Drosophila melanogaster: one gene and its partner. The protein of the gene in region 1 purifies or fractionates together with the protein of each later gene. This does not show direct contact. Each region holds a gene or a part of one and is shown on either strand. Other genes may lie near its edges.

The links.
Region 2: the proteins of Nxt1 (region 1) and Nemp purify together in Drosophila melanogaster (affinity purification with mass spectrometry, with the first as the bait; one large-scale study listed by BioGRID). This does not show direct contact.

The regions. Positions count from the first base shown.
Region 1 is NT_033778.4:23,810,606-23,813,938, reverse strand, and holds Nxt1 (NTF2-related export protein 1), read left to right. Parts: upstream 1-1,964; 5' UTR 1,965-1,991; coding exon 1,992-2,000; intron 2,001-2,057; coding exon 2,058-2,144; intron 2,145-2,201; coding exon of another isoform or gene 2,202-2,214; coding exon 2,215-2,520; 3' UTR 2,521-2,612; downstream 2,613-3,333. Other genes in the region: pippin, read left to right, coding at 434-1,513; CG5543 (uncharacterized protein), read right to left, coding at 2,613-3,333.
Region 2 is NC_004354.4:16,652,720-16,656,988, forward strand, and holds Nemp (nuclear envelope integral membrane protein), read right to left. Parts: upstream 2,297-4,269; 5' UTR 2,149-2,296; coding exon 1,417-2,148; intron 1,350-1,416; coding exon 717-1,349; 3' UTR 501-716; downstream 1-500. Other genes in the region: CG32573 (uncharacterized protein), read left to right, coding at 1-448; r (rudimentary), read left to right, coding at 3,679-4,269. UniProt on the Drosophila melanogaster protein: Contributes to nuclear envelope stiffness in germ cells. Required for male and female fertility.

The DNA of each region.
Region 1 (3,333 bases):
TGCATTAGGCGCACACAGTATACGCGTAGTAGTTCCGGATTCTTGACCTTAGTCTATAATAACGTGGATGCGGACGGGTGGGCGATTTGCTCGGATTTGGATGAATGGGCGCGTGTTCCCCCGGCTTTCGCTTCGCTTTCAATGGTTAATGGTTTGCCGCCTGACGTGATTTACGATTTTATGATTGCCGTCCAAGAGTTCCCACAGATTAAGATGTTGATGTTGCTTCCGTGACCCTCGAATAGATCAAATTGTTTTGCTGGCGAAAGTTCTAGCTGGGTTCAAGGTGGTCATGTATCAGAAAGTAATAGTAATAGTATCATTTATATAATTGATGGTCAACGTGGATAAGCTGGATTAGGATTAATGTAGACTTACTATATAAACTTACTATTTTGGCCTTCATTCATTATTTTATTTTACCTTCTCGAAGGTGTACATTGCGGAAACGGCGGAACCCAATCTGCGGAGTCTGCTGATCGGCGCGCCCTATGTGGCCTACTCAAGCGGCATCCTAATGGTCTACTCCCTGGGCTCCATGATGTACTGGCGTAGTGTTGCGTGGTGCGCCAACGTGCTGCCCCTGCTGTCCATGGTGTCTATCTCGTTTATACCGGAGACTCCGGCCTGGCTACTCCGCAATGGCCACGAGAAGCGTGCGCTGCAGGCCCTCTCGTTCCTGCGGGGCAGCGAGATCAGTGCGCAGAAGGAGCTGAATGATATGAAGCAGAGGCTGGCCAAGGAGCGGGTGACCACCAAGACGAACGAGAACATCTTCCAGCTGTGCTGCCAGCGCGTGGCCATCAAGCCGCTGGTCATTGTGATCGTGTTCTCGCTGCTGCAGATGTTCTCCGGCACGTTCATCGTGATCTTCTATGCCGTGGACATGATCTCGGAGTTCGGAGCGGAGTTCGACTCCAAGCAGGCGGCCATTGCGACGGCAGTTGTCCGGGTGATCTGCTGCATGGTCTTCTGCGTAGTCCTGATCTTCGTTCGCCGCCGCAGGATCATGATAGTGTCGGGAATCGGCTCCGGCTTGTTCTGCCTGGTGCTCAGTGTCTATCAGTATGCCAGATTCGATCAACCGAAAATGTCGTACGACGTATTCGTTGGTGCCGGCTGTCTCTTGGGCTACATCATCTTCAACACGGCTCTGATGGTGATGCCCGGCATTATGATCGGCGAGCTCTTCCCGGCTAGGATACGCGGACGGACTGCCGGCGGAGTGTTTGCCTCCATGAACGTCGCTCTGTTCATCTTCGCGAAGAAGTTTCCCGCTTTGCAGGCCATGCTCAAGATGCGCGGCGTGTTCCTGGTCTTCGGCGTGTCCAGTTTCCTGCTCACTGCCTTTATGTGCCTTTTCCAGCCGGAGACGAAGGGCCGCAGCCTGGAGCACATCGAGGACTATTTCAACGGGGACAACTGGCTCTGGTTCCGGCGGGATCGAGGCTACAAGACGGTCAACCTGCAGCCCCTGGAGCCATTGAAGGACACCCGGGGGCTGGAGGCCTAGGTCGGGGGGCTTTAGTCTTAAAACAGGTCTTAGCTTAGCTAGTTTTAGCCATACTCATAGTTCTAGCCGCAGTGCCTCGTAGTCGCCCTAGACTCGCTCGATTTTCCAGTGACCCCCAATGGGCCACTCCGACAGGGAATCTTCAAATGTTAGGTTACCAATTCAAATTGTGATCGCTATGCTTTAAATTGTGTCTAATTGTTAATTAAAATTATGATTAGAAATAAACAACTTGAAAAATAAAAGTCATCATTTGTTTTTCGGGCAATTTGCAGAAAATGTTTGCAATAAACTTGTTTTTAAGTGTTTGAACATCTTGACTTTTTTAAACTTTAAATAAATATTAAGGGTACTCACGTAGATTAGTAGCGTTTTTGTATTTCAAATGGTGGTAGTAATATTTTTGTTTCTTTCTTTCTGGAGAGTTTTTTTCTGACCACCCGAGGACGGTCACTCTAATTCGAGAATCGCGGGAAACATGGACAGCGTGAGTTGAAAATATTTAGTTTTTTAGCAATTTAGCATAGCAACTATTTGTTTAAAGGATTTGAAAGCCAAGGTCGAGAGCTGCGCCCGTACGGCGGATACCTTCACACGCCTGTACTACGCCTCCGTGGACAACCGACGCCAAGTAAGTAGAGATCCGCCTTGAAAGTCTGCATTTCATGGGAAAACGAAACTCAAATAGATTCCACCTGCAGCAAATTGGACGCCTCTATTTGGACAATGCTACGCTTAGCTGGAATGGAAACGGGGCCATCGGCCGCCAGATGATCGAGAGCTACTTTCAGGAGCTGCCATCCTCAAACCACCAGTTGAACACCCTGGACGCGCAGCCTATTGTGGATCAGGCTGTGTCCAACCAGCTGGCCTACCTCATCATGGCCAGCGGCTCCGTCAAGTTCGCAGATCAGCAGTTACGCAAATTTCAGCAGACTTTCATCGTTACCGCCGAGAATGATAAATGGAAGGTCGTCTCCGATTGCTACCGAATGCAGGAGGTCTGAGATCCACACACTTGTATTTTAAGCTAAGCTAAAGTTCTTACGTCGTAACGAGTTTATTAACATATCTAAGCTCTTATAAATAGATTGACTTCCTATTTGTCCGCCTCTGTCTTGGGCTTCTTGGTGGCCGGCTCGTCGGCGGGTAGTTTTTCGGAGAAGATGGCCTTTGGCTGCGTCTGCTTGTAGGCCGGTGCTATCCAGTAAGGATTCTCGGCTGCGTCCTTGGCATACTTCAAGATGGCTTCCCTGGGATCCTGGTCGTCGTCCACCCGCTTGCTCAGGCCCAGATTGCGGATGACATAGGAGGAGAGGGTGCCGCCGGAGCTGGCCACGCGGCCGCCCTGACCGCTGGTGATGGGCAAGTCCGGTCGCTGGGACTTGACAGGATCCATACGGGCCTTCTCCATCCGCTTACGCGAGGTACGGGACTTTTCCTGCCTGAACAATGGCAGGGCGTGCGGCGTAATGATCTGGGAGACTCCCACCATCTCCATGGGCTGCCTCTTGCGATGCGTCTTCACTACGCACAGCTTGGCGCCCCGGATGCTGCGGTGCTCATCGTAATAGCACTTAATGGTTCCATTGCCACAGCTCACGAACAGTTGGTTGAGCTTTGGGTGCCACAGCGTTTTCACCACGTGCGCGTTGGACACGGGAATCCGCTGCACTTCCTCGTAGCTCTTAGTGCTGTAGAAATACAGGTTCGCTTCGGCCTGGCCCTTCGGAAGCGATTCTCCGGTGACTAGCAGACGGTCATCTGGACTAAAGCAGCAATCTGTTGTGTCGTAGCGGGAGAACAGGTTTGTCCAGGTA
Region 2 (4,269 bases), on another chromosome or scaffold:
CCTGCTGAGTCGCTCCGATCGCGAGTACATCTACACGACCATAACGGACGAGTGGAACTACGGTCTGAATGGGCGGCAGATGTTCTCCTGGCGCGAGAAGAACTTCACCGATACCGCGGGCCTGACACGCGCCTTCGTCCAGGAGCAGCACTCCACGCCGCTCTTCACGCTGCGTAGCGAGCTCTTCAAGTGGTACTACTTCGTCGATCCCAGCCAGGGCAATCGCTTGGCCGCCCTGCGCTCCGGCAGTCCCAGCTCCTCGACCAGCACCTGGACCATCGCCTACGCGGGCGACGCACTCATCTTCCGGCAGCGCGAACTCACGCTCTGTGCTGCCGAAAAGTTCGACGACGATCGTCGTCTGGTGAAGATGCTGCCCGGCCAGATGCACACGCCGCCATCGGAGGCTTGCCAGTGGCTACCGATCGCCTGTGCTCCGCCAAAATGAGCGGGATGGCTGTACCCTGGAATGTTTGCAACAAATAAACTTATGCATTAGTGTATAAGTGTTTTTATTCCTAGCCAGTCATGAATAATTAAATATATAATTTGTATTAATATGTGTGTTTCCGTTCAGTCTGCAAGTGATTATACAAATATTAGAAAGGGTAACCAAACAAACAAATTTTACAGAACGGTACAGCATAGAACGTGGTGGTCAATGGTTTCAATTAAGCCTAATCAGTGGTTCCCCTTGTGGTTGAGCTGTTCGTCCGTTATTGTACTACTTGCCGAAGGTCCACCTCCTGCTCGAAGAACTCCTCCTCCTCGCTGTCATCGGACTCCGACTCCGGCTCCGGCTCCGAGTTGCGGGCGGCCTGTTGATAGCGGAACTGCGAGTTGGGCAGCGGCAGTAACTCCGCTGGTTTATCCTCCTCAGGTTCCTCCACTGATTCCTCCTCGGGCGCCGCATCCATGGACTCCTCGATGGTGCGCGAGTGGTCCTCGATCTCTTCGTCGTCCAGATGCGGTGCTCCATTGGCGAACGAGGCGAAGCGCAAAGGATCACGCAGTTTGCCCATCACCGCCCACTGCTTGCACTCCGGACTGTTGACGTACTTGCGCAGGTCCGCCAGCGATTTCGAGGTCTCCACGGCCGTCTGCTGTTCGTACTCCTCCTGGGTGAGCATGCGCCTCTTTAGCGGAAAACGGCGGCGATACATGAACTTGATCTGGTTCGTCCACGAAATGGGGAAGTAGTGGGCCACAAAGACCAGCACCATGATGAAGATCACGGCGCTGGTGTGCCAGCTGCTGAAGTAAGCCATAACGGCGCCAATGGCCTGCAGCACCCACATGACGATGGTTTGCGATCGAGGATTCTTGGGCGGACCAATGCGATAGCAGATCTGTAGAATAATCGAGGCAATTAGCTGGGGTTATCTAATCAAAAGGGAATATCAAGTGACTACGCACCAGGAACGAGATCAGTCCGGTGATCACCAGATAGCCCAGCACATGGTCGCGGTAGGTGATCAGAATCAAACGCAGATTGTCCGCCAGCTGTTTGATCACATAGAAGCCAATGGTCCAGCCGCCAATTAGGACGCCATACATCATGGTACGTCGCGGAAAGAGTTTGGCGGCCAAATAGATGACCACCAGCAGGGAGGCGCATATGCCGATGACAATGCCGACCAGATAGTAGAACACACTGTTCTTTGCTAGCCGCCGGGCGCTGAAGAGGATCAGTATGCCGACGGCGAACTGTGCGAGACGCCACAGATCCAGCGGAATGCTATTCAGAATGACGGTGTACGCCTGGCGGGAGGAAATCCCGATGCACTGCTGCTCGAAGGGCGAGAGCTGCAGCAGCTGGCGCTTCTGCGCGAACAGGGTGATGCTGAACAGCGATTGCTTGTCCTTGTAGTGCTGCAACACCTCCTCCGGCGTCTTCCCACCGTACTGGGAATAATCATCGCTCCCGATGGCCAGGACGAACTCCACAGTCTCGAAGAGACTTGACACCGTCAGCCGTTTACCCGGATAGCAGAACGTGCGCAGAGTCTGCAGTCCCAAGATGTTCTCCGACAAATTGATGTATGTGCCCGGCGTCAGGTAGGCGACGTCCGAGGAAGCCGTATTGCCAGGAATACCCGATGTGAAATATCCAGCCACGGTTAGCATCAGTAGTCCAGCCGAATGCATTATGAACGGTTGCAATGGCGTTAATCTTATCAATCAGTGCGCTTTCAGTCTGTTGCTCTCGCAGGACGTTCGCTTGTTAAATGCTGACTTGCTTATGCTTGATGTTTTGATGTTTACTTTACTTTAAGGAATCGAATGAAAAAGCAACGCCGCTTTGGTTTATGTCCTCACTCACGACGGGACGGGCAGTATATCGTAACGTAAGAAAAATGTATCGATAGGTGTGTGTGTGACTACACTGTTGTGATTTCAAATTTGTGACTAACCATTTAATTGTGGATTATTTATTTCCTTTGGAATACTTTGCAGAACACCCCATTTAAACATGTTTGCTAATATTATTACAAATATCTTATCTTATTCATAACAATAAATGAATATATAACGTTCTTGCCAAGTTCCCAACCTGCAATATTACTTCTAGTAAAGTTCCACACCGCCGAGCTAAGCTCTTGCTGTGGCATTTTTTAGCACATAATGCACGAAGATTCCGATTCAACCAAGGCGGTGAATTCAGTTGTTCGACTTTGATTTTCCAGACGTTAATTGGAGCCAATTTGCAAGCAAACACAGTTAAATGCTCAAACTAAACATATCCGAGCAGTGCGAAGTTAACCAGCTCTAAAAGCGGTGTCGCAAAGTAAACAAATCAAGTTGTCAATCGAATTAAAGTCGAAACCAAAACGTGTTCACAACTACAAGTGCAGCAAAGAGAGAGCTTCGCTTGAAAGTACACGGAATCGTAAGTGAGCTGTAGTTGTAACGGGTGCAGATGGGAAAAGGATAACTTGATGGCGATACTAATGCATCGTAGCTTAAGGATTCTCAGTTGGTTAATCCTCAATTCCTGCCCAAAGTCCAATTCAAAGTTAAAGTCAATGTTATTGTTATTCTCATTTGCTGACCGAACCGGTTTCCAATTGGATCCAAACTTCTCACACGTGCTTACGCACACACAAAACGCACCCTCTCACACTCGCTCTTCCTCTTTCTTCTCCGCCGCTAGTCATCGTGTAAACAAACCGTGAATGGCAATATCAAATGACAACAGGAACTTGAAACGCTTGATAAGCAGTGTCCATTCCCAATCAGAACCGTGTTGTGCCCCGCTCAACATGTTGCCAGACAGTTAAATACATGCATACATTCATCTATCGCGGCTTCCTATTGGATTCTTTGTATATTTTCTTGGGCCGGCAAACTGTGTGCGTGTGACGGTGTGTTTATAAACACATGTGTTTTTTGAACAAGATAACCTGTGGAATTATATTACATTACATTTAAAATCGAGGGTATGCACGCGCTCTGCGTAAACATATAGCATAGTCATAGCATATACTCATTAAGTAAAGTTCCCAGAGTCGCCGAATATTGTTATCAGATTTTCGACTCAATATTGTGTCTACTTGCCTTCGTAGAGATATGATCTTTTAATTAATTAACTTTGCTCGTTTATTTAAGACGGTTTTCGAGTGACAGGTACTAAAGAATACCCTATGGTTTCCAATCCTCCCCAGCAACTCGTCCAATATGGCCTCTACGGACTGTTACCTCGCACTGGAGGATGGCACAGTGTTGCCCGGGTACTCCTTTGGCTACGTTCCCTCGGAGAATGAATCCAAAGTGGGTTTTGGTGGCGAGGTGGTCTTCCAAACGGGCATGGTTGGCTACACGGAGGCGCTCACGGATCGATCGTACAGTGGTCAGATCCTGGTGCTTACCTATCCACTGATCGGTAACTATGGGGTACCAGCGCCGGATGAGGACGAGCACGGACTGCCGCTGCACTTCGAGTGGATGAAAGGCGTCGTCCAGGCCACCGCCTTGGTGGTGGGCGAGGTGGCTGAAGAGGCATTTCACTGGCGCAAATGGAAGACGCTGCCCGATTGGCTGAAGCAGCACAAGGTGCCCGGAATTCAAGACATTGATACTCGAGCCCTGACCAAAAAACTGAGGGAGCAGGGAAGCATGCTAGGCAAGATTGTCTACGAGAAACCGCCGGTCGAAGGGCTGCCCAAGTCCAGTTTCGTAGATCCGAACGTCAGGAATTTGGCCAAGGAGTGCAGCGTTAAGGAGCGACAAGTGTACGGTAATCCCAATGGCAAGGGACCACGGATCGCC